7 linked regions of the Tribolium castaneum genome follow. The main gene of each other region encodes a partner of the protein of the gene in region 7 in a complex. Links are inferred from orthologs where the notes say so. Each region holds a gene or a part of one and is shown on either strand. Other genes may lie near its edges. The genes, in order: LSm7, U6 snRNA-associated Sm-like protein LSm6, LSm3, peptidyl-prolyl cis-trans isomerase H, Usp39, U5 small nuclear ribonucleoprotein 40 kDa protein and Prp3.

Region 1 (3,318 bases), on a different chromosome or scaffold from region 7:
CGAGAAGATTTTCAAAGACGAGGACACGATGCGAATTTTCGCAACTTCTTTGACCCAAATTTTGAAAATTTTCCAATTCGACGGGTGGCTCCTCAACATCGAAAACTCGCTCCAAGACACCGAAATGTTGAAAAAATTCGTTGCCTACTTAGGGGTGCAAACGCACACCCAAAACCCCGACCATTTAATCATCTGGTACGACAGTATCATTGAAACGGGCGAATTGAAATGGCAAAATGAGCTCAACCCCCTTAATAAATTTTTCTTCGATAATTGTGACGGTATTTTCCTCAATTACGTATGGACTGAGGAAAATATCCACAATTCGATTGAATTTGCAAAGCATCGGACTTTGGACGTTTACGTGGGGGTGGATGTCTTCGGTCGCAATACCTTCGGAGGCGGTCAATTCAACTGTTTCAAGGCCGCCCAGATGATAAGGAGACACAACTTATCAATGGCGATTTTCGCGCCAGGCTGGACGCACGAAACGCTGCCCAAAAGTGAAAATCGGCAAAAATTCTTCGAGGATTTTATTAATCGAGACTCGGCTTTTTGGAACAGTCTGTGGCCCTATTTATACACGCATCCCATTACGAGGTTCTTCAAGACCAGTTTTTTCACTGGAGTTAACCAGGTATTTAACTAATTAATTAGTTATAACGCGCCCAAGTTCGTATTACGAAAAATAGTTCGCCCTTTCTCTCTCACTCTTTCCTATCGGAACTCCTATAGCTCTGTCCTTGTCTTATGTAAATAGCGGGTTATAACTTTTTAAGTAAAATTATAATAACTTAATAAAAACAAATGCATTAATTTTAAGGACGTCTACGACCTGTTCACGCAACACCCGCAACTCTCAAAAATCAAGCACCCAAAGTCACTAGAATGGGTCCCCAACCACCACGAAATACCAACACTGAACAATAAGTGCAACTGTTTACAGTGTGCTTTCACCAGTACTGGTGTTAGGTGTTTAATTACTAAAGAATTTTTGAATAGTTCAATATGTTACGTCCATCGTATTTTCACCTGTGATATTTTCCTATCTGGAGTTATCACAATTTACGTTTTGACGAAACTAGTACGCGCACAAGCCGCTCAATTAAGTTTAAATCTCCTCACTTCGGATAAAAACGGTACAATTAGAAAAATTAAATGCAATAGCACCGTCAAAGAACACCTAATTAAAAACTGTACGTTAATGGAAATCAATCCTTCGATAAACCCCTCACTTGTTAATCACGTCGTTAGAAGTAACGACGATTTGTTTCTACACGAAAATTTAACAATTGCGTAAGTCGGTCACACGTTTGGTAGGAAAAAAAAACTAATTAACTTTTTCAGTGTTTATCAGTTTGATTGTTCGCCGTGTACGTTATTGGAAATTGGATGTACGTTAGAGGAGGGAAAAGCGATTTATTTGTGCGGTCTTGGAGTCGAAGAGCACGTTCTAGTACTCTGACACAACTTTCGTGACCAACAGTACAAACAATTTTCTGCCATACTGTACATTTTGCCAGGGCTTGAAGCCCAAATAGTTAACATGTATTAATGCTTTAGTAACGCCCCAATGTGTAAATAACTTTTTTTGAATAAATGATAACCGAGAATTTTGCATTTTTCATTTGAAACTTTGTACCTCCACTGCGCAAGCAGTCCTCTACAAATTGTGTCCCAAAATTGCGTCAATTTTTACGTAATTCTTTAGAAGCTAAGAAAATTAATTACGAAATTGCTGGACTTTACAAACCGATAATTATTTTTTTTTATTTCAAAATTAATCGGAAGGTTCCGTGCGCATAGGAGACCATATGCACGCGTCACCTCCAAACGTATTCTAGGTTAGAATTTCAAAATCGGCAAAATTCCACAAATAAAGCCGAACAATGGCATCGTCAGGTGACAAATCAAAAGTACGTACCCCAAACTGCCCCATTTCGCCCCCTCAACCCCCATTTTTACCGTAGAATCAGAGCGGTGACCAAAAAGAGAAGAAACGTAAAGAGTCGATTCTAGACCTCTCTAAATACCTTGAAAAGACAATTAGGGTGAAATTTGCGGGCGGCCGAGAAGCTAGTGGTATTTTAAAAGGCTATGACCCCCTTTTGAACCTCGTCTTAGACAACACAATCGAATACTTGAGAGATCCAGACGACCCTTATAAATTAACAGAAGACACGAGGGCCTTGGGTTTGGTGGTCTGTAGGGGCACAAGTGTCGTGCTCATATGCCCCATGGACGGCATGGAGTCCATACAGAACCCCTTTATATCCCAAGACTAAGTTTTGTACCATAAAAATACCTCTAATTTGTAAGACGTTTTTTTGAATAAAACCGGTAAAAAATTAATAAAACTGTTTTATTGCACAAACTAGCTCAATAAATTAATTAGAAGTTTAGTTATAATGAGCGTAAGCAACCACCAATGCTTATAACCAAAAGTAATTAAAGCGTACACACAAAAAACGTGTTAATTACGCTTGAGATTAACGAATAATTGCCCCAAATAATAAATCTGGGTTGATTCAGTTGATTGCAAAAATGGGTTTTTCTGTCCAAAACTACGGTTGAGTACAGTCGCCCACACATTTAATGGCCCTGTTGCGCACCGAGCATGCGCAAAAACGCTCTGACCGACTCGGATGACTCACCGCCGCCATTTTCCTTTCAAAAAAGTGACATTGGTGACAGTTGAGTGCAAAAGTGCTTTAAAAATGCCGGTCAGGGTGGATATTACGCCTCCCCCGCCGGCCAATTCAAAACAGCCGGGGGTAACAAAGTCCCTCTTATACAACGGCTCCAAATTTCAAGGTTTCCAGAAATCGAAAGGCAATTCGTACGAAGTGGAAGTGGTTTTACAGGTTAGAAGTTGCAAATAATCGCACCATTGCCCCCCTTAACCAAAATTTCGATGACTTTGTACCGTTCGAACCCTTGTAGGACGTGTGACGTCCCTTTTGCTCACCGCTTATTTAAAGAAAACTAAAAATATCAACATATGCTAATGCAATCCGAAATGGCGGGAAATTTAAATTTCGCTCGTTTTTCCAGCACGTCGACGAGGAAAACTCCTATTTGTGTGGCTATTTGCAAATTAACGGGCTCACCGATGAGTATCCCACCTTGACTACGTTTTTCGACGGCGAAATTATCAGCCAAAAGTACCCGTTTTTGACCAGAAAGTGGGACGCCGACGAGGACGTGGACAAAAAACACTGGGTGAGCACCCAAATCTTTGTTTTTAGCACAATTTCAAAAATTACAAGTAGCCAAGCATCGCAGCTCACTATCTTATAATTATTATTTTCACAATCT
Region 2 (3,059 bases), on a different chromosome or scaffold from region 7:
GGCTTGTGCCCTCGCGCTCAAAATGTGCGCCCAAAATCACCGTTTTCTCAAATTCCACAAACTAAGGAGTTGCTTCAAGTCGACGCTTCCGATACTGTCGTGGAAACAATTCGATAACGTCCGCGATTGTATGCAATTCACGCGGGACAAAAACGGGCTAGCGTTTAATTTTAGCCCCCCTGAGCTCCAGAAAGCGCGGAGTTGCGAGGTGTTGGGGTGTCCGGAAGTCCACAACTCGACCACGTTTGTCTTTGACCCGAGTTACGATTATTACAGCGCTTATGGCGACTTTAACTGTGGGGGTGAGTGTTGGAAGGATGGCTTAATGTGAATTGAATTTTAGCCACAGCGAACGCAACTTGTCTCAGATCAGTCGGTTTGTTTCAAGTGGTTCAGGAAAAAATGAATTATTCCAGCGCCGCACGTCGGTGCCAGGATTTGGGGGGCGACCTGGCTGATATTTTGACTGAGGCAAGGACGAACGCACTAGCTGCGTTACTCAAGTCTTTGCCTAACTGGTACAAGGGGGCATACGTTGGCCTTGACGACATTACGGTTGAGGGGAGTTTTGAGACTCCAATGGGGGACTTTTTGCAATGTTCGCGGTTTCGGGCCTGGGCTGTGGGCCACCCAAGACCAGGACGAAGAAAAGAAGACTGTGTCATGTTAGATGTTGAAAAAACGTGGAGGGCACTCAATTGTAAAATTAAATTGGACTTCATCTGTGAATTTTATCCAACTCCTCCGGACAACACATTGAATGAATTTAAATATCAGAACTGTAGTCTCGTTAAAAGTAAGAAAAAGAAACAAGAGTGTGAGACAAATAACGAGTTATTTGAGCTATACAACAGCTCTACGAGAATCGATCAGTGCGCTTTAATGAACGACTTTGAGTTTTGAAACGTTTTTATTACAAAAAATACATTAGATTCTACGTTTTTGTGTACTTATGTAGAGCACATTGTTGCCCCTAATAAACGCATCCCCGAATTTATTTTTGAGTTGTCCGTTGACGTATTCCTCGGTTTGCTCCAACGCTATGTTCATGTAGCCATCGAGACAAGCCAAAACACCTAAAAACCAAATAATAGCCCCCTTCATTGACAAAAAACAAACATAACCTCACCTCTGTAATCTACACCACTATTCAACTTGACCACAACAGGCCTGGCGTGAATTTGTTGAATAAAAGACGAAAGGGCTTCTTTGCGACTCATCCTTATCAGCTTGTGGCTCAAATTTGCTTATTTAACCGCCTCGGCTGACAAAAACCTAACCTCAAATCGGCATGTACATAACCCCACTTCCTGTTTTTTTCACGCAAAACCATGTCGAAACCGCTAACATTCGTCACCGGCAACGCCAAAAAGCTCGAAGAGGTGGTTGCCATCCTCGGCTCGACATTCCCACGCAAAGTGGTGAGTCAAAAAGTGGACCTCCCTGAGCTCCAGGGCGAAATCGCCGATATTTGCGTGAAAAAATGCCAAGCGGCGTACGAAATCATCAAGGGGCCGTGTATCGTCGAAGACACGTGTCTGTGTTTCAACGCATTGGGTGGTTTGCCCGGTCCTTATATTAAGTGGTTCTTGGATAAGTTGGGTCCTGAGGGGCTGTTTCGACTACTGGCTGGGCATGAGGATAAGAGTGCCCAGGCCGTTTGTACTTTTGCATATCATCCGGGCGATGAAGGGGGCAAAGTGATTCTGTTCGAGGGGCGCACGGATGGAGAGATTGTGATGCCGAGGGGGCCGAGGGATTTTGGATGGGATCCGTGTTTCCAGCCAGTGGGGTACACGCAGACGTACGCCGAGATGCCCAAAGAGGAGAAGAATAAAATCTCTCATCGGTACCGCGCCTTGGACGCGCTGAGGAATCATTTTATGAACCAAGAGAAACAATAATGTTTTGTCGTTTTAGTTTTATTTGACTTTAATCAACTTAAATAAATTGTTTTGTTTGATTTGAGTGCTTTTTTGTTACGCTTTTCTTATTTCTCCGGCAGGTTTATAACAAAACAGTCCGGGGGGTAGTACTTTTTAGTACTCAAATGCCATTATTGAAAGGATAGTAATAAAGCGATCAGTAAAAAATTCGATTTTAATCAGTAAAAAATAATAAATCATCAGTATTTAATTCATTTTTGCACAGTAAAAAATTTAAATGACAAGTAAACCACGCACAGTATTTTTTTAAAATTTGCCCAATAAAAAAATCGTATATGCACAGGATCTAGTTTCAGTTTGCACAGTTTAAATAATAAACGCTCAGTAGCTAGCTTGCAGTCTAGGGCTTCGCCCCAGCAAACTAAAAGGAAAAATACTCCTCGAACGATTAAACTCAAAAACGTAAAATTGGAAATGTGAAATTCTACACACTCTAGTTTTGAGATGCTATTATTTACTGTGCATTTATTATTTTTACTGTGCAATTATTATTTTTACAGTCCATTTATTATTTTTAGTGTGCATTTATTATTTTTACTGTGCAGTTATTATTTTTACTGTGCATTTATTATTTTTACTGTGCATTTATTATTTTACTGTGCATTTATTATTTTTAGTGTGCAATTATTATTTTTACTGTGCATTTATTATTTTTAGTGTGCAATTATTATTTTTACTGTGCATTTATTATTTTTACTGTGCATTTATTATTTTTACTGTGCATTTATTATTTTACTGTGCATTTATTATTTTTAGTGTGCAATTATTATTTTTACTGATTAAAAATACTTGTCGTTTAAATAAAATACTGTGCATTTAATTTGTATCCTTATTGAAATCGTTTGTAATGTGACTAAAATAGTCCATAACAAATGTACGTGTGTAATATTGGTTACGTAAATTAAAACATTGTTTTCAAGACTATTTCTTCCACTTCAGAGCGTTTTTAAACAGCTATTTCTACGTAATATAAAATTAAATTATAAACGTTTTTTGAGTGCAATTTCAAACAAGCAAAAAATTTTTGGTTTCGGCAATAAATAAGATACACTTTTTCAGTGGTTTCAGTCAGAAATAATACCTAATCTTGTTAACAATGCAACGTAACTCTAG
Region 3 (3,474 bases), on a different chromosome or scaffold from region 7:
TTCTTTGAAAATGTATTATGAAGGGCAACAGAAACTGTGTAAAGTTAAAAATGCTTACGTTATTAGCCAGTAGTGGTAGATGCAGCGACGTCTTATTTTAAGGAAATGAAAATAAGATACGGAATCAACGGAAATGCAATTGGTGGAATAATCATTGCCAATCCACCTGCTGGAATTCCCTAAATTGGGATGTCGGTCGTGCTTTTGGTTATTTAAGCTATAGAAAGTTGTTGTTAGGTTGGTAGCTAGGTCTAGTGCGGTGCTAATAATCTTTCTCTTATAAACCTCATTTTTTGTAAATTAATTGTCAGTGTCAAAAATTTTGGAATTATGTTGGAACCCTGCCACATTGACATAGACGACTAATTTTAAATGGAGTTGCCAACGTTGAAACAATTTGAAAATTGATTTTAATTCCGAATGGACTTTAGCAACCAGTAATTTTATATACGTGCTGATTCTTTTAGAGCCTATATTACAAACTTTTTAACTTCTAACATAGGTTGAGCTTTAAAATTTTGTACACGATTCAAATCGATCACTCTGAGTTAAAACTAAATTATTTTCAAGATGGCTGAACTTCCGGAACTACGAGAAATTGGCGACAACTTTGAAATTTTAAATGGTGACCACCTATTTTTATTGTGTTTCTGAATTCGCCTTTTGAAACTGAGTAAAATGTAAACCTAATTGTTAGTACTTATCTGTCTTAGTTTTTGAAATATGTCAAATGTTTTGATAAATTTTTTATTTGCAGAGGTTTATTTAAAACATCATAGCTCTTGAGTACTTTAAAATAAGTGAATAATTCTTTTTGCATTTGATAACCAAAGGCTCGAAGGGTCTTCTGAAATCTTTACGATTGTCAACTGTCAAATTGCAAGGCTACTATGATATTTTGAAAATGATAATTAAAAAACAATTATAGAACAGTTTTTTTAAATGGAATGACTTCAATGGCAATCAAAAGAACATCAATTTTTATGCAGACTTATTAACATCTTCTATATCTATCTCTTACAGTTTTTGAAATAATCTCAAAAAACCGAATTCAAGGTAATTATTTTCATTTTTAATCGAGTAACCTTTCAAAAAATACGATAAAATTGTACTAATGATTAACAGAAATTTTAAAACTGTCCCCCATTTTCACTCAAAAAGTTCAAAATTCGATGGCAAACTGACTGAGTTATTCACTAAGTTAGCATAAACCATAATTAAATATTAATGTTTTGCTGCTTATTTGATAATGAACCAGCTAAAAACTAAGTAAAGTGTCGAAGTTTGACAATTGTTGACCATTTTGCAAGGTCTACTTGATTAACTATAAAAATTACGAAGTAAAATCCGTTATTTGTGATTTTTTCAAAAACTGTAACAGGTAAGGTACAGGACGTGTTGATAAAAATCACCATGAATATTGTTCTTTCGATTGCCGTTAAGAAAATAGAGTCGATCCATTTGAAAAAACTGAATTATAGCCGATTTTATTTTTAATAACCATTTAAAAAAATCATACTAGCCTTGAATTTTGACAGTTGACAATTTTGAAAATTTTAGAAAACTTTTCGAAACTCCGATAATCGAATTAAAAAAAAATATATTCACTTCTCCTAAACGGTTCAAAGGCTGTGATAATTTAAATAAACCCTTGCAAATAAAAATTTTACCAAAAAAATTGACATATGTAAAACTAAGACAGATAAGTACCAACAATTTTAATAAATTTTACTCACTTTGAGAGAGTGAATTAAAAAATGTAATAAAAATGTTTAGTTACTCTTCAAAATTTTAAAGTTGGCGCCAATTTGTCGTGGTTCCGGAAGCTCAGAAATTTTGAAAATAATTTAGTTGAATTTCAAATAGTCGCTTTTAAAGCACTAGTTTTTTTTAAAGTTAAAAAGTCTCTAATGTAGGTCCTAAAAGAATCACCCTGTATAATCTGCCGATTTCTAAGTGTTAGTGAGTGTTAAACTATGCATGATCCCTAAAACGAGTGATTGTATTATTTTAAAAAGTAAAACGCGGTAATAATCTGTGGCTTTAATTAAAAAACAAATTTTTTTTAGATTCAAAAAAACACCTTCCGCCCGAATTTTATTACATGCCAAGACCGGTCTGTCCGAATATCGTTAAAATCGAAAAAGGTGTTCTTATTGTGGCGACACTGTAACGACAACTTAACCTAACTTTTGGCCTGTTTAATTTAATATTACAAACAAGTATCATCTTTCGTGAGAATGGCAGATGACTTAGAAAATGTAAGACCCATTTCATTTAGAATTACATTTCACCTACCACTCCTTTCAGATTCCCTCAATCACCGTCAAAGAACCGCTCGATTTAGTGAGGTTAAGTTTAGACGAACGTATTTATGTAAAAATGCGAAACGATCGAGAAATCCGGGGCAGACTCCACGTAAGTTGTCTAACAAAGTTCCATCCATCACAAACCGAAATTCCAGGCTTATGACCAACACATGAACATGATCCTGAGCGACGCCGAAGAGACCATAACCACGGTTGAAATCGATGAAGAAACATATGAAGAGGTTTACAGAACGACGAAACGTAATATTCCCATGCTTTTCGTCCGAGGTGACGGCGTGATCTTGGTCTCACCCCCAATGCGCACTTCGTAAATAAAACACATACGTTGACATGATGTTTATTTACCCATTAAATATCGTATTTTACAAAGATTTCCTGATAATTGGTTAAAATATTAAAAAGGAGTATTAGGATAGTACGAGTTAAATAATTCTCTATACAACTTAATTTATAAATAAAACGTTCATTACAATATGTACATCTCAACCCAAGTCAAAACCATCCACTGTAAACGCAATCTAATAAGCTTATCATGCAATGCCTCAATAATACTGGAAATTTGGCATATTGCTAAAGTTTGCTCGTTAAAAATTGAAAATTCGTTGCTTCAATACACTTGACTAGCCGTGCTAGCCTTCCTTCTATGTCACGCCGACGTTTCATTTTCGCCCCAACCCTCACTATCACACTCCGAATCGCTTCCTGAATCCGAATCGCTAAACTCGACTGCAACCCTCCGAGCTAAAATACTCGCAACATCGTGGAAACCGTTCCCTCTCTCCACCTCCTTCTGTTCAATCTTCTCCACCTTGCGCAACTTAATCCCATCTCGGATAGCTTTGAGTAAATCATTCCTGGGATCGACGATAGGCGGCGCCTGCTTTGGCCGATCTTTGACAGGTGTCAATTGCGGCGGCGACGCACTATTTATAATTTTCGCCAAATCGCCGTTAACCAATGGGGGACTAGTCGTCGGGCCGTTCAGTAACGGCATTGGTGGAGGTGGTGGCGGAGGCGGGGCTTGTGGAGTTTGTTGTTTGGGGGGCGAGGCTTGCTTAGGTATGGGCGGTGGTGGAGGTAAGTCTTGCACCGGTTCGGGAGGTGTGGCTTGATGCGGACTGTTTGAACGCGATTGGGTGGCGAG
Region 4 (3,394 bases), on a different chromosome or scaffold from region 7:
CAATCGCTACTGATAACACGCCTGTTAATAATGTGTTAACTTGGGACAAATTTAGGTTATGAGGCAGGTGGTTAGGATAAGCGAAGCGTTTGTGTCCTTACCTAGGTCATCCATGGTAATAAGCTGCCGTTCTAATACTAATTTTAAGCAAAACTTCTCAACTACATCACGAATTATCGGCACTTTTTAGGAAAATGACCTTATTTAGGCATTTTCGCAGAATCACAAATGTCAAGATATGAAATTCCAGACGGTCAGTGTAGGCAACCTTGAAAGAAGTAAACAACGGACGGGCAGCGCCTCTCAACAAGTTTTGCAAAATTTTAAAAACCAAAATTTTTTTCCCGCACAAACCTTGCGAATTAACTGACTGAGTTGCCCCCCGTATCTAAGTGACTTGATAACTGCGTAACGAAAATTACGTTAAGTTATGATTTAATAAAACATGATAAGAACTGATAGTGATAAGGACGTCTAAGAAGACTGCAAAATCCAGCACAAAAATAAAATTAAATTCGTTGCTCTTGTTTTTATTTAACTTTAGTCACCGTTGGTGAAGTCCCTGATCGGGAATCCCCACAACCCAGAGATAAAAACCATAACAAGAAGATAAAGTCATAGACCCCACAGGTCACCGTATATAAATGCAGAAGTTTATCATCTCGAAGGTTACTCGTGTTGTTCCATTAAAGGACGTGCTAATTAAATAAATAATTTTAATTTTGCATACAAGGCAAAGTTGAATATGGGACGAAAGTTCGTGATTATTTTCTCAATTTTGCACCAAATTCTGGCTCGAACAGGTAAAACCACCGCTCAAACCCCATCCATTGCTAAATGAGGTGTTTCCAGAGTCAAACTTGCCGGCAGTGTGCCCCGAAATCGTGAGTCGCACTAGATGGGGGGCTCGCACTGCTTTGGAAGTGGATTACGCCCTAATCCCTGTCGAAAACGTGGTCGTGCACCACACGGTGACCAACACTTGCAGCACTGAGGAAGAATGTGCGGCGATTTTGCGAAACATTCAGAATTTTCACATGGAAAATCTAGATTTTCACGATATTGGATACAAGTAAATTTGATGATTTTTGTTTTTTTTTTTTTAATTATGGTTTAGTTTTTTAGTGGGTGGTGACGGCCAGATTTACGAGGGCGCAGGTTGGCACAAAGTGGGGGCGCACACACGTGGGTACAACTCCCGGTCTTTGGGGCTCGGTTTCATCGGCAATTACACGAGTAGGTTGTTTTTCGTGTTATTTTCGTACTTTACGAGCCTTTTATTACAGCTCAACTTCCAAATAAAAAGCAGATACAAGCCGCTAAAGATTTTCTCCAATGCGGGGTTGAGTTGGGAGAGTTGGGCAAAAGTTTCAAACTGTTTGGGGCCCGCCAAGTCAGCGCGACGGAAAGTCCGGGCCTAAAGCTGTACCGCGAACTACAGAACTGGCCGCACTTTACCAGGTCCCCGCCGAAATAAACTGTATTCTAGTTTTTAAAATAAAATTATTATAAAGCATACGATTTTGAATTTAAATATGGCGCCCATTAGTCGCAAGTTTGAGGTTATGTTGTTTTGATTATTCGAGGTTAGGGAACTAAAAACCGTAAAAATGCCGAATTGGGACCAAATTCAAGCCCAGTTGAAGCACCCAGCGAACCCGGTCGTGTTTTTCGACATTTCCGTCGGAACTACGGTACCAATAACCCAAAATTTCCGAAAACTGTATTTTTCGATTACAGGAAATCGGCCGAATGATTTTCGAGTTATTCGCAGACGCGGTCCCCAAAACCAGCGATAATTTCCGCCAGTTTTGCACCGGCGAGTTCCGCAAAGACGGCGTGCCGTTGGGCTACAAGGGGGCTAGTTTCCACCGAGTTATCAAGGACTTTATGATCCAAGGGGGCGACTTCGTCAATGTAAAAATCACGGGATGCGATTCCGCAACTAATTAATATTTTTAGGGCGATGGGACCGGCGTTATGAGTATATATGGGGGCGGAACGTTTCCCGACGAAAATTTTAACCTAAGACATGACGGTCCTGGACTTCTATCAATGGCAAACAGCGGCAAAGACACCAACGGTTGCCAGTTTTTCATAACTTGTGCAAAGTGTAATTTCCTGGACGGCAAACATGTGGTGTTTGGACGCGTTATTGACGGACTTCTCGTCATGCGGAAAATCGAAAACGTGCCCACGGGGCCCAACAATAAGCCCAAAATCCCGGTCACAATTGTACAATGTGGCCAAATGTAGTAGTGTAATTCAAATTTTAATAATAAAAGCACAAAATAAAACTTAGTTTAAATTTTTATTTTGTCAGGTTGGTGGTCCCATAACCTCACTTGTCAAAAACGTAAATAATCGTGAAATGGAAAATAAAAAAATATCGTTCGGTTTCAGCAAAATTAGTAAAAAGACCGAAATCAGGTCAAGTGTTCCGAAACCCGAAAATAAGATACAGCTAATTGACTGTTTAGAGGGTCAATCAATTAAAATAAAAGGGTATGTTTCGTTTTTGAGGTTATGTTATTTTTGCCAAAAACCTCATTTTAGTGCCGTTGAGGAGACAAATGAGCCGTTGGTGATACCAATCCAAGGCCCATCAAACAAATTAATAGACCAAATAAAAAAAGCGAGGGAAAAACACGTCAAACCTGAAGTTAAAGAAGAGACAGGGGAGGCAAATTCTGTGCCAGACTCTGCCCTATCTCTTGACGAATTAGCGGCAAGAGAGTTAATCCGAGGTACTTACCCTATGTTTCAAGTGATTTTCTAGTGTGAATAAAATTTTCAGAGGCACAGACTCGCAACACTGTACAAAGCGAGACAAAAGTCTACTCCTTGCCTTTAAATGACGACAAGTTTGTGGCAGAGGGGGCACAGGAGTCGTCTCTCGACGACTACGAAAGTGTACCAATTACAGATTTTGGTATGGCGATGTTACGTGGCATGAATTGGAAAGAGGGAATGCCAATTGGGAAAAGGACCAAAAAGTTGGTTTAACTTTTCTAAAACACATCCTGAAAATGATTTTTTCTAGATCTGAGGTCCCAAAAGTCCCAGAGTTGCGCCCCAAAGGCCTGGGCTTGGGTGCCAATAAAATGGTCAATTCCAGCACCCCTTCACAAAGTGTAGATAAGGAGGGTAAAGCGCTCCAGCTTGTGAAGGGGGCTTACGGTAAAATAATAGCCGGCAATCACAGAAGTCAATACTGCCAAGTCCAGGGTCTGGATGACGAAAATTGCAGAGTTATAGTGAAGACAGCTCTCACGAATGAGATTTTAAGCTTAAATGAATTTTTAATTGTGCCAGTCACGAGTGAGGAGTATAATAAGTGTTCAAGGGTCATAAGTGAGTTTGCCTTCAATTGTGGGGTTTTGAGTGATTTTGA
Region 5 (5,220 bases), on a different chromosome or scaffold from region 7:
AATGGAGCTTCTAACTAGGTTCCTCAAAAGTTCAATTAATAATTTGTTATTCTTTTTTGCTTTAATCTCAATTTTTGCCCGAGAAAGATAAAATTTTTGGGGTTTAAATAATTGTTTGATATTTCCTTTGAATATATTATAGGTATAAAAAACTACCTCAGTTTTTTTGTGTTACTGTATGTTACTGTGTATTTCTGGAGTAAGGAGGGAGAAACAACTTAGGTACAGATTTGACGTAACTCTTTATTACTTTATTACTGAAAATAAGATAAAAATACACCCAAGTGTAAAGTCTATGCATTTGAATAAAAATATCTGATAATGAAGACTTTAACCATTCAAAACCACCTTAAGAAACTAGCCAAAACAAGTTCAAACCCAACGAAAGCATGGCACGACGAAAAGATAACTCGTTTAGTTTTTTATCCAACTTGTTTATGATTACTGATTGATTGTGTAATTGAATACGCCGGTCATCATTCCATTCGTCAACAAAAGAACATCTGGTTGAACCTTCGCTTCTACCTGAACCAGAAACCCCTAAAAACTTAACGACCTGAATCCAATCCTTACAAAATCGAGAAACTCACTTTCGCTTCCTCGCAGGCACTTTGGCCATCGTCACCGACGGCATGATCTACGGCTGGTCGTCCCCCAGCCTCCCCCAGCTCAAAAACAACGAGACTTGCACCTTGTGCATTGACGAAAACCAGGGCTCCAACCTGGCCGTCATGCCCCTGGTGGGGGCGGTCATCGGCTCGCTCACCGCCGCCACCATCGTCGACATCCTGGGCCGCAAACGCACCATCCTTGCCACCGCCGTCCCCTTCTTCCTCTCCTGGATAATGGTGGCTTTCGCCCCCAGCATCGTCCTCCTCTACATCGCGCGTTTAATCGCCGGCATCGCCGACGGCGTCACCTTCACCGTCGTCCCCATGTACATCGGCGAGATCGCCGACCCCCAGGTGCGAGGGATGCTCGGCTCCAGCTGCTCCGTGACCTGGATCGCCGGTTTTCTCATCATAAATGTGATAGGGTCGTACCTTAGTATTAAAACCACGGCACTTGTGTCCTCAATTGTGCCGGCAATCCTATTTATTACATTCTTGTGGATGCCGGAAAGTCCGTACTATTTGTTAATGCGTGGGAGGGCGGACGAGGCCCGGAAATCACTAGAACGCCTCAAAAAACGCGAAAATGTCTCCGGGGATTTGAACCGAATCCGGAACGCAATCCAGGCTGAGGAAAAGTCGCACAATGGGAAATTCGTCGACTTGTTCCGGGTGAAGAGCAACCGGAAGGCCGTTTTCATCATCGGGGGGCTCCGGGGCTTCCAGCAATTGGCGGGGACCACGGCTATTGCCTTCTACACCCATGAGATTTTCCAAACTGCTGGGGACCACATTTCCGCACATTACGCTGTGATGATTTACTACTCCATCCAGTTGCTCCTCACAATGTTCTCCTCGAGTATTGTGGATAAGGCCGGTCGAAGACCACTGTTGATCATCTCAATGGCGGGGTCGGCGTTAGCCCTTTTTGTCGAAGGGACCTATTTTTATCTTTTGAACGAAACGGACATTGATACGAGCTCATTTTCGATCGTGGCCGTTGTGGGGCTTCTAGCTTTTGTGATAATTTTCAGTTTAGGGATGCAGTCAATCCCGATTTGTATGTTAGGGGAGTTGTTTCCCACAAATGTGAAAGCTTTTGCGCTTTGTTTGGCCGATGTTTACTTCAGTGTGATGGCCACAGTGGCCTCCAAGTACTTACAAATAACTAAAGTAGAATACGGACTACATGTCTCGTTTTACGGTTTCGGGATTTGTTCGCTACTTGGACTAGTTTTTATTTATTTCTTTGTGCCTGAAACGAAAGGAAAAACCCTCGAAGACATCCAGAAAAAACTGAGAGGGGAAGTCGAAGTTTGTGATGAACGAGGCGCCGAAGAAGAGAAAGTTAGTCTCAAAGCGTAATTTTATTGAATAAAGTACTTATTTTTTTACAATTTCGAATTTTATTGCATAACCAGATTGACATTATTATTGACACCGTTGACAGTAAATATAACCTTAAAGTTGCAAACACCACACAAAAACAGTCCTAGCGTGATTTAATCAAAAATTAATTAAAAAAGCGTGAATACGATGGAAGCGGACGATGAACCTGCCATGAAAAAGCCCAAGTTCGAGGAGCCCCAAGCCAAATCAAACTCCTCACAACGTAAGTACACATAACCTCGAAAACGCAACTGAAACGTTCAATTTTAGCCGAAATTGAGCCCCCTTCTGACAATTCGGACCGGAAAGGTACAAAAATCAATCGATTAAAGCGCCCTGTTCTATTATTGTCTATTCCAGGTGGGAAGCCCCAAACGCATCGACTGTGCCCCTATTTGGACACAATCAACCGGCAATATCTCGACTTTGATTTCGAAAAATTGTGCTCAGTGTCGTTGACTCGCATCAACGTTTATGCCTGTCTTGTTTGCGGAAAATATTTCCAAGGTAGAGGCACAAACACACATGCTTATACGCATTCGGTGGCCGAAGGCCACCACGTTTTCCTCAACTTGCACACCTTGAAGTTTTACTGCTTGCCCGACAATTATGAAATAATAGGTAATAAATACTCTCAATTGTAGTTTTGAAATTAAGTTGGCAACATTTTTCTTCAAATTTCAACAATTTTACCCAACTCACTTGATTCGAGCTGAAGTTTTACACCGAATTAGATTAAATCGTTTCAATAACGCGAATGTTTGAGAGGGCGCAATGCCAGTAACGCCCCCCTTCAAAAATAAAGTGAAATCTTCGTTTTGTCGCATTTTTCCGATTGGCATTTTATTGAATATCGTTTTGTATGCGTTTTCAACCGAAACTAACTCGAATTAAACCGAGTAATCGTGGAAAAAATACAAAAATGACTAACCTTAGCGTCGTCTAACTGAATTTTTTCAAAACCGGCTTCCAGCTTGCTGCTAACACACTTTGATAGTCTACACACGTCACATTTCCGATAAAAAGTCGATTTGAGTCGTTTTTGCCACTTAACACGCACAAAACACCGGTTTTTCAACACGCAAAAGCAAAAGGACGCGCACTTCGGCAGACAAGCTTCACTCTAACGCTGATGTCACGCCAACGGCACCTCATTGGCTGATTTGAAAATGACACTTGAGCGCGCGTGATTTGAAATTCGCGCGAAGTCTTCAATTGGGAGACTTTTTACAAAGATTAGGATTTATACGTTTTTACAATGTCATAATTCACGAATTTTGTAAAATAAATGCCTGTTTAGCTCAAAAACATGCATAATGGCTTAAAAAAAAAGGAAAAATGAGATAATTTGTGGCCTGATTTGGTAATTTTGCGGCTTGTTTGGCATTTCTGCCTGAAATAACAAGTTGGGATCTTCGGAAAAGACAAACATTATGTAATTATTGAATCCGTTTGGTGGTTTTTCGGTTAATTTTTGTGTTTTTTGTCTATTTTCGATAATCGTGTTGTCAATTTCTGAATTGAAAAAAGCAAATACTAGGAAATGTTCGGGGAAGTATTCGGTTTCAGTAATCAGTGTTGCCACTTAATTTCAAGCTCCAACGATTTTTTTCTAACAAAATTAAATTACTCACAGATTCGTCCCTCGACGACATTAAATACCTGCTCAACCCCACATTTACCGAACAACACATCAGTACATTGGACGTTAGCACAAAAATGTCCCGAGCAATTGATGGCCTACTTTACATGCCAGGAATCGTCGGTTTAAACAACATAAAAGCGAACGATTACTGTAATGTTGTTTTACAAGCCCTTTCACGTGTTGTCCCTTTACGTAATTACTTCCTCCGTGAGGAGAACTACAGCAAGATAAAACGCCCCCCAGGTGACTCCTCTTACCTCCTGGTGCAACGTTACGGTGAACTGATGCGTAAATTATGGAACCCCCGAAATTTCAAAGCCCACGTTTCGCCGCACGAAATGCTCCAAGCTGTGGTTTTGTGGAGCAAAAAGCGCTTCCAAATTACGGCACAAGGCGACCCCATTGATTTCCTTTCGTGGTTTTTGAACGCACTTCATCGGGCACTTAACGGCAATAAAAAGAAAAACAGTTCCATCATTTACCAGTCATTCCTCGGAAACATGAAAATTTACACCAGGAAAATACCACCGACCGAGCTTGACGACAGACAGAAACGCATGCTTTTGTCAACTCCAGAGTACCAGGAGATCATCACCGAGTCACCCTTCTTGTACCTCACCTGCGACTTGCCTCCACCGCCTCTCTTCATCGACGAGTTCCGGGAGAATATCATCCCCCAGGTGAACTTGTACCAGCTCCTCACCAAGTTCAACGGACAGACCGAGAAGGAGTACAAGACTTACAAGGAGAATTTCCTCAAGAAGTTTGAGATTACGCGTTTGCCGCCTTATTTAATCTTGTATATTAAGAGGTTTACGAAGAACACGTTCTACGTGGAGAAGAATCCAACCATTGTGAATTTTCCGGTTAGGAATGTTGATTTTGGCGAGTTTTTGACGCCCGAAGTTAAGGCCAAACATAAACATACGGTCTATGATCTAGTGGCGAATATTGTGCATGATGGAGAGCCGGGGAAAGGCACTTACAGGGTTCATATTTTGCAAAAATCAACGGGCAAGTGGTACGAGATGCAGGACTTGCATGTGACGGATATTTTGCCGCAGATGATTACGCTGACGGAGGCTTATATACAAATTTATGAGCTAAGATTAGAAAAGTAATTTTTTACGAATAAAATTCTATCACCGGAATTTTTGTCTTTTATTTGTCCCTCCCTGATTTTTTTCTGTAATGAAACGTTTAGTCCAGAGAGCGGTTTGTTTTTGGCCTGATTTGGTCAAAAAGCTTTTGAGAAATCAGTCAAATCTTTAGTTCTTGAACATACAGATTAGTTATATTTAAAAGATGAATGCTTTATTATTAATTTTTTGTGAGACATTGTTCAAATAAGTTCGGTAAACTATTCGATTAAAAAAATATTTCGTGAATAAATAAGGAAATGCAATTGGATTTTAAGATCTTTATTTATAATTCTGCCTTGCCAGTTCTGGATTGAACTGATTATTGTACTTTTTGCCCCCAGTTTGAGGCTTCTCTTTTTCTTCCTCCGTCTTTTCCCCGCGTAATTTGGCCAAAAGCCCTTCAGTTCTCTTTCTCTCTTCCCTCTCACGTTTC
Region 6 (4,892 bases), on a different chromosome or scaffold from region 7:
GAAAAACTGTGTGTTTTTATTCAACCAAAGACAGAGAATTGTTTGACGGAGTTAATTTTAGTTAAAACTAGTCTAAAAAAATGTGAAATGTGTAACACGATTTGTTGTTGATGATATTATTGCAAGATATTAATTTTTTATGACGTAGGTTTTAGTCTATTTATTATTGTTGAAATAATCTGCTAATCCACTTTAATAAATGTTTATTTTGCTATTTCTTTCCATCTAACACATGCATTTTACAGAATATGGAAATTACGCAAACTTTGATGGAATGCCGCAAATATTTATCCACTTTGCGTGTCGCAAAGTTTAATGTTTGAGCACTTATTTTAAATATTTTTATTAGATTAGTTGCATCACACTCTCCGTAGGCACGGAAGTAAATATTTTAAGTAAAAATTAATTAAAATGAGTTATAAAAACAGGATATACATATTCTGGAAGAAACGTACGTAAATATTTGCAAATGTTTAGGCAATTTTTTTGGCATGCAATCAGTGTTTTAAGTTTTTTCTGTAATATCGTCTAAGAGGAAGAAATCATTAATCAATGTCGGTCTGTTAACAAAATTCTACGTTTAAAAAAGGCACAGATAACATAATTTTCCAACAAATTTGGGATTTTCGATTAATGATTTTTAGTGTCATTTTAAGAGTTTTTTTACAAACTGATTTATTTTAGAGTTTAAATGAGTTCAAAAATTGAGCAAAATAAACCAAAGTCAAGTCAATTTTTAGTTAATTTAAGGATTTTCACGGTGTTTTTTCACGAAAAAAAGTGCTAAAATATTAAATAAACATCTGAAAATAGACAAATAACATTATTTTTAACACGATTTAACAACCTTTTGGATTGTTTTGCCAAAATTACACAAAAAACATTAGTATCTAGTATCTAATTTTGATCAAGTTTGCTGATTTTTAAGTTTCTTCTGACAGAATTTAAGAAAATATGTAGTTTTTAAGTCGAAACTTTACTGAATCAAACAAAGCAGACTATAATAACGACTATAATTTGGAAGATATCATTCTTATCAATCTATTTTAGTAAAATTACGCAAAAAAGATGTTTGTAGTTTGAAAATGAGCCTAAACTCCGGGGGTTCCTCCTAAACTTAGGAGATGAAACAAGATATAAAATTACAGGAGTTTCTAATCCCAAAAAATTAGTACGACACACTAAAAATGATGGCGCAATAATGCAACAGTCTTATGGGGTTGTACCTCAAATATTTGCCAAGAGAAACTTAATTGTGTTTCAGTGTTGCAAATTACTAACAAAAATCTGTTAGTACCGGGAAAATACTGACAATTTTAGAGCAAAAAAGTAATAAGAATTACGCAAAGTGAGTTAAGTGAGCTAATATTAATCGTTTTCGAAATTTTGGCAAGTAAAAAACCAAATAATTTTTAGATATCGACATTGGGAAACCATTTCATTGTTGTCAAACATTTATTCCAAAGGAGATAACTATTTGTTTTATATAATTGAAACAGGGTATACAATCAAATCGTACTTCGTGCTCTCCACCAGAGGGCGCTTATCGCTTCGTTTTGTTGACGCTAAAAAGTGAGGTTATTGTTTTCCTCCCAATTTTTGTTTAAAACACCAAAAATGGTTGTTGAGAAACGTCGAGCCGAAGATTCATCATCTCTAGTCCCCGTAAGCAAAAAATCGAAAAATGAAGTGGCCACATCGAACAAAAACAAATCGGTCTTACAAGCGGTTAGTAACACTTAACCTCAAAAACCCTCCTCAAATCATGTATTTCAGGCCCCTGCGAGAACTTCCAATCTATTTGCCCCCATTATGTTACTGGAGGGCCACGAGGGTGAGATTTTCACAGTGGAATTCCACCCTGAGGGTCAATATGTAGCTTCATCAGGTTTCGACCGTAGAATTTGTAAGTTGTTTTTTTTGCAATGAGGTTCAGCCAAATAGGTCTTCATATCAAAATTTTGGAGGATTTACTTGAATATCTAATATAGTAATTTGAAGTACATAGAGGGTGTCTTAAAATTAACGCCCGTGCGTTGGGAATTTGATTCAGGGGGTTAACATAATTCGAAAGTTAAGAGTAAAAAATTTTCAATTGTTATTGATAAAAATGTAAATAATAAGCTTAAAGCTGTTTTTCCAATTGTTTGTGCAACATAATTCATCAGTTGATGTTAGCAGGGCTGAGCCATGCCAATTGGCCGCCTGTGTGCAGGTTCCAATAGTAGTTAAAAATTACCAAGTTAAATAAATGGAAGCAAATGTTCATTTTTAAAATATTCTGAACTAGTTTATTTATTCAAAAATAAAACTATTTGTAACAAGAATATTTTTAAATTTTGTACAGGTACATTAGCTGTTAAAAATAATTTGATAACTACAGTTCATTCTTTTTTATAATTAACTGTCAGTGTCAAAATTTTGATAAAGACCAGACTGTATCACACCAAAATCTCATGTCTAATCACTTTCGAAACTAGCTGTATTCTGTATTTGACATTTTACACACCAGATTTGACATTCGGGACAATTTTTGCAGCCAATGAAATTTGAATTCGTTAGTCTTTAGAATTTGTTAGCCTTTTAAAAAAATGTGTTGTGCGTGTTGTAACTTAAAGACCATTAAATTAAATTTGCCAGGTAAAAATTAGTACCATCTTAGTAAAAATTACTATTTATGGTAATACTAACCTGACGGCTCTTTGACAGTTGATTATAAAAAAAATCGACTATATGTATACACGAATTGTTATTGCTTTGTTTTATCAGGGGTGCATGTTTTTTATTTTTGTTTTTTAACTAATATGAAAACAACCTAAAAACAAAAAAATAAGGAAAAACAAACAATCGTTCTTATAAAATAAAGCCAAAACAGAAAAATAAAGCCCTTGTGTAAAATTATTCATAACTTTTTTACCTCTTTCATTTTTTTATTCTTTTTGTTTTTTGATTTTTTGCTCCATTTGTTTGAATTTTATTATACAGCGTGCTCAAAAACTGGCGCACCAACTCATTGGTGTGTGGTAGAGAACTGGTTACATATAAAGGTAAAAATAGTAAAAAATTCTTTGTATTAAAGTTATTGATAAATAACGGATTTTGGATAAATGATATGTGGCAACGTTGTCTAACAGTCATGATCGCAACAGAAGTTGAGCAAGAATAAAAATAAATTATTTTTGAAACGGTTTCCTAGGAAATAATTGCCAGTGTTGGCACATTTACACATTGCGATTTTTTGGATGAATTTTAATTTTTTTAAATTAAAAAAACTGCTAAAATCTGATAGTAAATTTGAAAATAATTATTCATCGTTTTGTTACGGAACGATTACTTGGTATGAAACATAAATACATAAAAAAAATAATGAAAACTAAAGAAGTTAACACAATAAGTTTGTAGCTCCAGATTTTTCAAAATATGACTTTAGGAATTTTTTAAACATTTTTCCCGTAATCTGCACTTGCTTCTCAATAATGTACCACTGAGTTGGTGCGCCAGTTTTTGAGCACCCTATATTTATCAGAAATATGAAGGAGTGTAGTACTAAAATAGTAAACAAAAAAGTTGGTGGCTATTTAAAATGTTATTTTAACATGTCTTTTCTCAATAACTGGATGTCAAAGACTAGCGTTTCTAAAAATAAAATTGATTTGTGTATTGAAAAAAATAAGCCATAACTAAGATATAAATTTTATGTGTTATATTAAGTTTACTCTGTAGAATAATTGGACAGAAAATTTTATGGTTTCATTCTAGAATTTTTTAATTTTCTAGTCCGTATAAATGACTACTATTTAGTCATTTGCTAAGTAAAATGTTGACATTGCGTGGTAAAATAATCTAAATGCTGAGTGGTAATTATTTATCTATTTTTAGCGATATTTGGCCAACCAGTTTTGCAAGTTATTTGTGCGTTAGGTATTTTACAGGGTTCAATTTTTGTATTAAAGCCCTCAACTTCGTTTCGAGCTTCAATATTAAAACTTCACGCTGTAAAATTTTACCTACTACAGGTAAATTGTAAATAACTATTACTAGAAAGGCTATCATTCCCTAAATTTATGCGTGTAAGTTAAGACTCACCCTATATACGTCTGAACTTATATTCATTTAGGGATCTTCTCCAAAAAGGTTTCTAACTTTATTCAGAAGGAACATATGAGGATGTAAATAAAGAAAATTATCAATTATAGTTTTTCGAAAAATTTTATTTTTTTATAATAAAGGCAATACCAAATTCAAAAACGTCTTCCGCATTCAATTCAACAGAAAATTTTATGATTTTATTCTGTTTTTTTAAGTTGTACAATCATTTCTTTACTTCTAATCACTCTAACTCTGTTCATTTTCATAATGAAATTAAAAGAATCCAAACTATATTTTTATTTAAAATTTTATTTATTCCATCGTCAAGGATAAATGAAATTTTATCACTTAGAGAAATAATATTGTTCACAACTATTGTTGTTTTTGTTGAGTTTTTGACGTTTATAACTGTCAATCAAAATAGCTCAGTAACTCAATCGAAATAATGGAGGATGGAATAAAATTTTGTATTGCACACGATAAAATTCACTATTATCTTCTCAAGATCTCAAAGTAAAATTAAATTTTATTGTCTTGTATATCAATTGATTAGTTTTAAAGATCTACATATTTTTCTTAGCTCTTACCTATTTTGAAGAATTTGGAAAAAACATCTTTTAAGTATTGAAAAAAAAAAGAGTCGTTTTTACATACTTTACGGCAATCTTCATCAAAAAATTTGGTTTAAAGGCCTATTTGTCTAGACTAAATATGTTGGTTTAAAACATGTGCGATTTCAGTCGTTTGGAGCGTTTACGGTGAGTGTGAAAATTTATCGGTAATGAGTGGCCACACGGGTGCTG
Region 7 (5,170 bases):
GGAACCACTCACCATAGGTACCTCTACAGAGTGAATGTGGTTCTCGAATGATGCAGCTCATTTGTACAGTAGATATAAAACATCACACTGTCTTGTTTGTCTTCTGAGTAACACAGATATTTCAAGTGGACGCCTCGGGTTAAATTCCGACAGTGGGGGCCGCCGTAAGGCCAGGTGGTGGTGTTTTATTTATTGGTTGAATCACATTTCCTATATTTAGCTGTAGGGTTAAGTTCCTAGCGATTTTTACGAAATCACCGAACCTTACGGCCGTCAAACCGTCCGAATTTCATCCAGAAGCGTACTTTACGAGTGGCACTCTTGATCGGAGGCGATCTCGTTTATTAGGATCAATTTTGTATAGTGAAGATAAATTTAAATTGTATAACATACTTATAAATATTATGTCCATTGAGAATATGTAATTTACATCCAAATGTGATGTATTTTATAGGAGCGTCTGAGTGAGTGGGATTTTAAGAAAACTGTTCTTTTAAACGAATGCCTGCAATTTCTGTATCGGTGTCAGAATGCGAGTTTTAATTGTAACAAGTAATTAAAAAATTAAAATTTGGGACTGTAGTATTTTTTACTAAGTCTCATTTCCAGCTGTGTAAGTGTATTTTTACAACTCTTTTGTCAGTAGTTGTGTGTGTCTTTCCTTGTTCCGGTTGTTTGGTTTATTTCCATTTTTTCAATTTGTAATCTCATGTGTAAAGAGACTGTACCCAGTACAGCTCCTACTGCAACCTCACAATACAACACTTACAAATATTGTCAGTTTTATTTATTCACCGAATTGTTGCGAAAATACTACAAATCCTACAACAAACAACGCTGCGAGTGAGGTTTAAAAACCATTCAATTTTCCTTTCTTTTTCTCCAAAAATTGAATTGTTTTTAGTTGTTCCACGACTTACGAAACAAGCAATATTACGTAGAAATTTGTTTTACCATTGTTTGGGTGAATTCAAGTTCGTTACACTTTTGTATAGTCACACTGAAAATGTCATTATTTGTAAGAAACAATAAAACTGACATAAAACTCTGACCAAGATATTTTCAAGGACTTTTATTGCAATACAGACTGATCTTCCTACTGCAACAGCCCAGCATAAAAATAGATTTTACACTTACTGTTTGTATTGTTCCTAAATATAAAATAGGTAAGTTTGGTTCCATACTTATTTACATTCACACTGCACTTATTTCACTGTTTATCGTAAAATTTTATTACAGCTGTAAAGTTGTTTTCCACTTCCTGCTTGACCAAACAAATCTATTCTCATGTTTGGATCAAGGAACCAAAATATAACGCATAAAATTATATTGTACACAGGCCATTCCAAATTTTAACGCCCGCCAAAAAAGAAATTAAAACTTAATCCCTTGTTAAAAGTTAATCCGCGGTGAATTTAAGCATCTGATTGGTCAAATTTAGTCACGCGATCAGTTTATCTGACTTTTGATTGCAAGTAACAAGAAACCTTTTTACACATATATTTTTATTTTCACAACAAACTCACAAAAATAAATAATACATTAATTTTTATCAAGCTATTATGCAACTGGTGATGGGCTGTTGTTTACAACTTCGTGGTTCTTTTCCTTGAGCCACTTCATCAATGATCGCAGAAAGGTCGTCATAGTCAGGATAAGCAAGGGTAGTTAATTTAGAATGAACCAAAGTCCCATTGACTTTAACTTCAAATGTGGCTCTCCTGCCTTCATGCCCATTCAGTTCAATATCGGGGTGTTTGGCTTTAATATGCTGCGCTAACTCTTCGAACTTTTTAAAATATCCACAAGTCCCACTACAAATAATCTCTGAAATGATATAAATAAAACTAAACCATCTCCATTTTTTTTACCAAAACTCAACATCGACTTCAACCCCCATTGTAAGTTAATCCAATCGAGGGATTATGGCCTCTCCCTTATTCTATGGCTATGGCTTTATGGCCCTTCCTGATTTTTTTATTTATTTACACTTGTCACATGCCCATAACCCCTAATTGTCATTTTGACATGGGGATTGTCATTGGGATATAGGGTATTTCCAGTTTGTTCCGTTGGTGTTGTCCAATTTTTGACTTCTAACCTAAAATCGTGTGTGTAAACGTTGGAAATCGTATCTTGATAATTGTTAAAAAAGCCAAAAATGTCGTACCTCTCCCGGCGAGAAGTGGAGGACTTGAAACCCTCTATAGACAAAGCCGTTTACAAACTGCTCGGCAGCAGTGATAGCTCCCTGGTCAGTACCGCAGTCCATTGTTTAAATTCAGGGTACGATAGGCGCAAAACTACTGACAAACTTTCGTCTTATGTTGATAGCAAAAAGGCGACAAGACTAGCCGAAAAGATATTTGATTTAGTCGAAGACTATCATGCCTCGCATCGGTCGAAAAAACGATCGCGTGACGATTCCCGAGAACGAGACTCAAAGCGCTCGAAATCGCGCTACGACGATAGAGACAGTAGACATGACTCCGACCGCAACAAATCCAAATCGAGCGAGATCATGGAAAGCGCCCAGAAACAAATCGAGGAGCGGAAGCGGGCCCTAATTGATGGGCTCGCCTTGGGCAAGAACAACATCAACATGAACATACCCCAGCCCAGCATTTACGGCATCCCCATGGGGCTCCTCAACAGGGGCGACGCCGACAAGGCCCGCAAAATCGCGCAACTGCAAGCCCAGATCAAGAGCAAGCTCTCCAGCGGGATTTTGACCAACGCCATACAAATACCAGTGGTGCCCAACAGGCCCACCCCCCTGATCCTGGACGACGAAGGGAGGACCATCGACAAGACGGGAAAAGCGGTGCAACTGACCCACGTTGTCCCAACACTTAAGGCCAACATCAGGGCCCAAAAGCGCGAACAGTTCAGGACGCAGTTGAGCGATAAAACGGACGACAGTAACGAAATGAAATTTTACGATGGGAGAATTGGGATAAAGCCGCCGATTCGGAACAAAAGACAGCTTAGGTTCCACGAACCCGGCAAATTTTTACAACAGGCCGAGCGGCTTCGTATGAAAGTATGTCTGGGTTTTTTGTGGAAGTGTGTTGGGTCATAATGAATTTTTTTTCAGGCCCAGTTGGAAAAACTGCAAAATGAAATTTCACAAATTGCGAAAAAGACCGGCATTTCGTCGGCTACTAAGCTTGCGCTTATTGCAAAGTCTGAGGGGGTGATTGAGGACATACCGCAGATGGAGTGGTGGGATTCCGTTATTTTGATCGATAATTTAGATTTGATGCTCAATGGGAAAATCGCAATAAAGGAATCTGTAATTACCACGTTGGTTGAGCATCCAACCCAGCTGAGGTGTCCAAGTAAGAACAACTATTTTTATTTTTTTATTTTCAGTCTCCCGTCGGGAAATACGTTGAGTTATATAAAAAAATGTGATTTATTCTCGGTTTCTTATATAAGAATTTTTCTGGTGTAATAAACGTAATGATAATGATAATTTTGGTTCAGTTTTGCGAAATTTCGGCTTATTGTGGGTGGAATTCTGTGAAACAAATAAACTGATTGCAAAACATTAGAATTTTTTACTTATTTTATTGATTATTCTGTCGCTTTTATTGACCTACTTTGGCGATTTTTCGGCTCAGTTTAATAAAATCCCTTGAAATAAGTATGTTTCTGGATAAAAAACGGACTACAGCGCTTGAAAGAGTAAAAGAAAATTTCACTTTTGAACTTATTCAGTGTTTTTGGATCCTGTTTACTGAATTTTCGTCGGAACAACTTCGTTTAAAACACGCAAAGGCCTCGAAAAAAGCAAAAAAAAACTATTAATGAGCTAATTATTGAATCTTTTGTCTGATTTAATTGAAATCCCCCTAAATAATTGTGTTCCTGACTGAAAAACTTGCTAAAACAAATGTCATTTTTGGCTTCATTTGCAGAAAAAAACTATTTTATTCCAACAATCTGTTTAAGTCTTTGAAAAAAGTGAAATATAACGCTGTTTTTTTATCTAGTTTGGTGATTTTTCGTCTTATTTTTGAAGAAATTCATCGAAAACTTGTTATACCTTCGGATGAAGCAAAAATAATGTAATACTTGCCCTAACTTAGTCTTTATTTGGCAATGTTTAGCGAAATTTCGCGAAAATTTAAGTCTTCTTGACCATACATCAGCATAATTTGACGATTTTCATTTTATTTCTGACCGAAATTTACCAAAATAATTGGATATCTGTCTAAAAAATGTGTTAAAACAATCGAAATGATCGAGAGTGATGTAATTTTTGGTTTATTTAGTGATTTTTTTTCCTCACTAAATTGACAACTTTTCGGATTATTTTAGTGAAATTCTTTGAAATAATTATTTCTAATTGAAAAACGTGTCAAAACGCCCGAAAGTTGAAGAAATAATGCCATTTTCAACCATATTTAGTGACTTTTGTTAGTAAATTTTCTCCAAAAAAAAAGTTTTTAGTTCAAGAACGTCTTTGAACTGTCGAAAAAAGCAAATGAAATACTTTTTTCGACATAATTTAGCGATTTCTAGGCTTGTTTGTAAAGATATTCTTCGAAATAATTGTTTCTGGCTCAAAATCTTGCGCTAAAACGCTCAAAAAAGAAGAAAATAATGTCATATTTGACCTTATTTAAATTATTTTTGAGTCACAGTTAGCGAATTTTCGCTAAAGAAAACTTAATTTCTTATCTTAAAAACACGTTTAAGCCCTCGAAAACAAAACAACATCCTAAGTTAACGATTTTCCAGCTTATTTTTGCAGAAATTCAACGGAATAATCACTCTCAATAAATGTGTTTTTCCTTAATTTCCTGACCTTATTTAAGTGATTTTTGGGTCCCAGGTAGTGAATTTTTGCCAAAAACCTTACATTTGATGATTTTTGAGCTCATTTTTGAATAAATTTGTCGACATCATTGCTTTTCTAGCTCACAAACTTGCTAAAACATTCGAACCTCGTTTTTGTCCATTTTTTGAGCTTATTATTTTAGCAATTTTTGGTCGAGTTTAGCGAAGATGGGGTTAAACGCTTGGAAAGAGAAACATTACAACATTTTCGTAAATTTTTGGATTATTTTTGACCAAATTAAGCAAAATTTTTCTCTGAAAAATTAGTTACGACTTGTTTTAAATTAAATAAAAAAAAAACATTTCTTTACAGCGGACCCCA

Evidence for each region.
Region 1: Prp3 (region 7) and LSm7 share a complex: the UniProt entries of both Homo sapiens proteins name them as parts of the precatalytic spliceosome. The link is inferred for Tribolium castaneum from reciprocal best matches to the Homo sapiens genes PRPF3 and LSM7.
Region 2: Prp3 (region 7) and U6 snRNA-associated Sm-like protein LSm6 share a complex: the UniProt entries of both Homo sapiens proteins name them as parts of the precatalytic spliceosome. The link is inferred for Tribolium castaneum from reciprocal best matches to the Homo sapiens genes PRPF3 and LSM6.
Region 3: Prp3 (region 7) and LSm3 share a complex: the UniProt entries of both Homo sapiens proteins name them as parts of the precatalytic spliceosome. The link is inferred for Tribolium castaneum from reciprocal best matches to the Homo sapiens genes PRPF3 and LSM3.
Region 4: Prp3 (region 7) and peptidyl-prolyl cis-trans isomerase H share a complex: the UniProt entries of both Homo sapiens proteins name them as parts of the U4/U6-U5 tri-snRNP complex. The link is inferred for Tribolium castaneum from reciprocal best matches to the Homo sapiens genes PRPF3 and PPIH.
Region 5: Prp3 (region 7) and Usp39 share a complex: the UniProt entries of both Homo sapiens proteins name them as parts of the U4/U6-U5 tri-snRNP complex. The link is inferred for Tribolium castaneum from reciprocal best matches to the Homo sapiens genes PRPF3 and USP39.
Region 6: Prp3 (region 7) and U5 small nuclear ribonucleoprotein 40 kDa protein share a complex: the UniProt entries of both Homo sapiens proteins name them as parts of the U4/U6-U5 tri-snRNP complex. The link is inferred for Tribolium castaneum from reciprocal best matches to the Homo sapiens genes PRPF3 and SNRNP40.

What each region holds. Positions count from the first base shown.
Region 1 is NC_087399.1:1,125,218-1,128,535, reverse strand, and holds LSm7 (U6 snRNA-associated Sm-like protein LSm7), read left to right. Parts: upstream 1-1,756; 5' UTR 1,757-1,889; coding exon 1,890-1,916; intron 1,917-1,970; coding exon 1,971-2,285; 3' UTR 2,286-2,357; downstream 2,358-3,318. Other genes in the region: ENGase (cytosolic endo-beta-N-acetylglucosaminidase), read left to right, coding at 1-637, 824-1,296, 1,348-1,465; glucose-induced degradation protein 4 homolog, read left to right, coding at 2,718-2,864, 3,055-3,222. UniProt on the Homo sapiens protein: Plays a role in pre-mRNA splicing as component of the U4/U6-U5 tri-snRNP complex that is involved in spliceosome assembly, and as component of the precatalytic spliceosome (spliceosome B complex).
Region 2 is NC_087398.1:10,390,748-10,393,806, reverse strand, and holds U6 snRNA-associated Sm-like protein LSm6, read right to left. Parts: upstream 1,269-3,059; 5' UTR 1,221-1,268; coding exon 1,130-1,220; intron 1,077-1,129; coding exon 928-1,076; 3' UTR 904-927; downstream 1-903. Other genes in the region: uncharacterized protein LOC100142353, read left to right, coding at 1-302, 344-903; inosine triphosphate pyrophosphatase, read left to right, coding at 1,332-1,904. UniProt on the Homo sapiens protein: Plays a role in pre-mRNA splicing as component of the U4/U6-U5 tri-snRNP complex that is involved in spliceosome assembly, and as component of the precatalytic spliceosome (spliceosome B complex).
Region 3 is NC_087399.1:10,143,041-10,146,514, forward strand, and holds LSm3 (U6 snRNA-associated Sm-like protein LSm3), read left to right. Parts: upstream 1-2,103; 5' UTR 2,104-2,240; coding exon 2,241-2,261; intron 2,262-2,310; coding exon 2,311-2,418; intron 2,419-2,464; coding exon 2,465-2,641; 3' UTR 2,642-2,659; downstream 2,660-3,474. Other genes in the region: SCAR (actin-binding protein WASF3), read right to left, coding at 2,977-3,474. UniProt on the Homo sapiens protein: Plays a role in pre-mRNA splicing as component of the U4/U6-U5 tri-snRNP complex that is involved in spliceosome assembly, and as component of the precatalytic spliceosome (spliceosome B complex).
Region 4 is NC_087395.1:17,965,995-17,969,388, reverse strand, and holds peptidyl-prolyl cis-trans isomerase H, read left to right. Parts: upstream 1-1,531; 5' UTR 1,532-1,610; coding exon 1,611-1,694; intron 1,695-1,740; coding exon 1,741-1,917; intron 1,918-1,962; coding exon 1,963-2,256; 3' UTR 2,257-2,301; downstream 2,302-3,394. Other genes in the region: peptidoglycan-recognition protein 2, read left to right, coding at 746-803, 853-1,072, 1,118-1,236, 1,287-1,477; G-patch domain and KOW motifs-containing protein, read left to right, coding at 2,372-2,505, 2,557-2,747, 2,798-2,996, 3,044-3,354. UniProt on the Homo sapiens protein: PPIase that catalyzes the cis-trans isomerization of proline imidic peptide bonds in oligopeptides and may therefore assist protein folding. Participates in pre-mRNA splicing.
Region 5 is NC_087394.1:36,569,454-36,574,673, reverse strand, and holds Usp39 (ubiquitin carboxyl-terminal hydrolase 39), read left to right. Parts: upstream 1-2,003; 5' UTR 2,004-2,147; coding exon 2,148-2,223; intron 2,224-2,270; coding exon 2,271-2,309; intron 2,310-2,360; coding exon 2,361-2,621; intron 2,622-2,931; exon of another isoform or gene 2,932-3,175; intron 3,176-3,636; coding exon 3,637-4,766; 3' UTR 4,767-4,796; downstream 4,797-5,220. Other genes in the region: facilitated trehalose transporter Tret1, read left to right, coding at 607-1,976; leukocyte receptor cluster member 1 homolog, read right to left, coding at 5,067-5,220.
Region 6 is NC_087399.1:11,298,901-11,303,792, reverse strand, and holds the start of U5 small nuclear ribonucleoprotein 40 kDa protein, read left to right. Parts: upstream 1-1,519; 5' UTR 1,520-1,617; coding exon 1,618-1,728; intron 1,729-1,776; coding exon 1,777-1,906; intron 1,907-4,829; coding exon 4,830-4,892. UniProt on the Homo sapiens protein: Required for pre-mRNA splicing as component of the activated spliceosome. Component of the U5 small nuclear ribonucleoprotein (snRNP) complex and the U4/U6-U5 tri-snRNP complex, building blocks of the spliceosome.
Region 7 is NC_087397.1:1,256,623-1,261,792, forward strand, and holds the start of Prp3 (U4/U6 small nuclear ribonucleoprotein Prp3), read left to right. Parts: upstream 1-2,161; coding exon 2,162-3,043; intron 3,044-3,097; coding exon 3,098-3,341; intron 3,342-5,161; coding exon 5,162-5,170. Other genes in the region: migration and invasion enhancer 1, read right to left, coding at 1,553-1,814, 1,872-1,900. UniProt on the Homo sapiens protein: Plays a role in pre-mRNA splicing as component of the U4/U6-U5 tri-snRNP complex that is involved in spliceosome assembly, and as component of the precatalytic spliceosome (spliceosome B complex).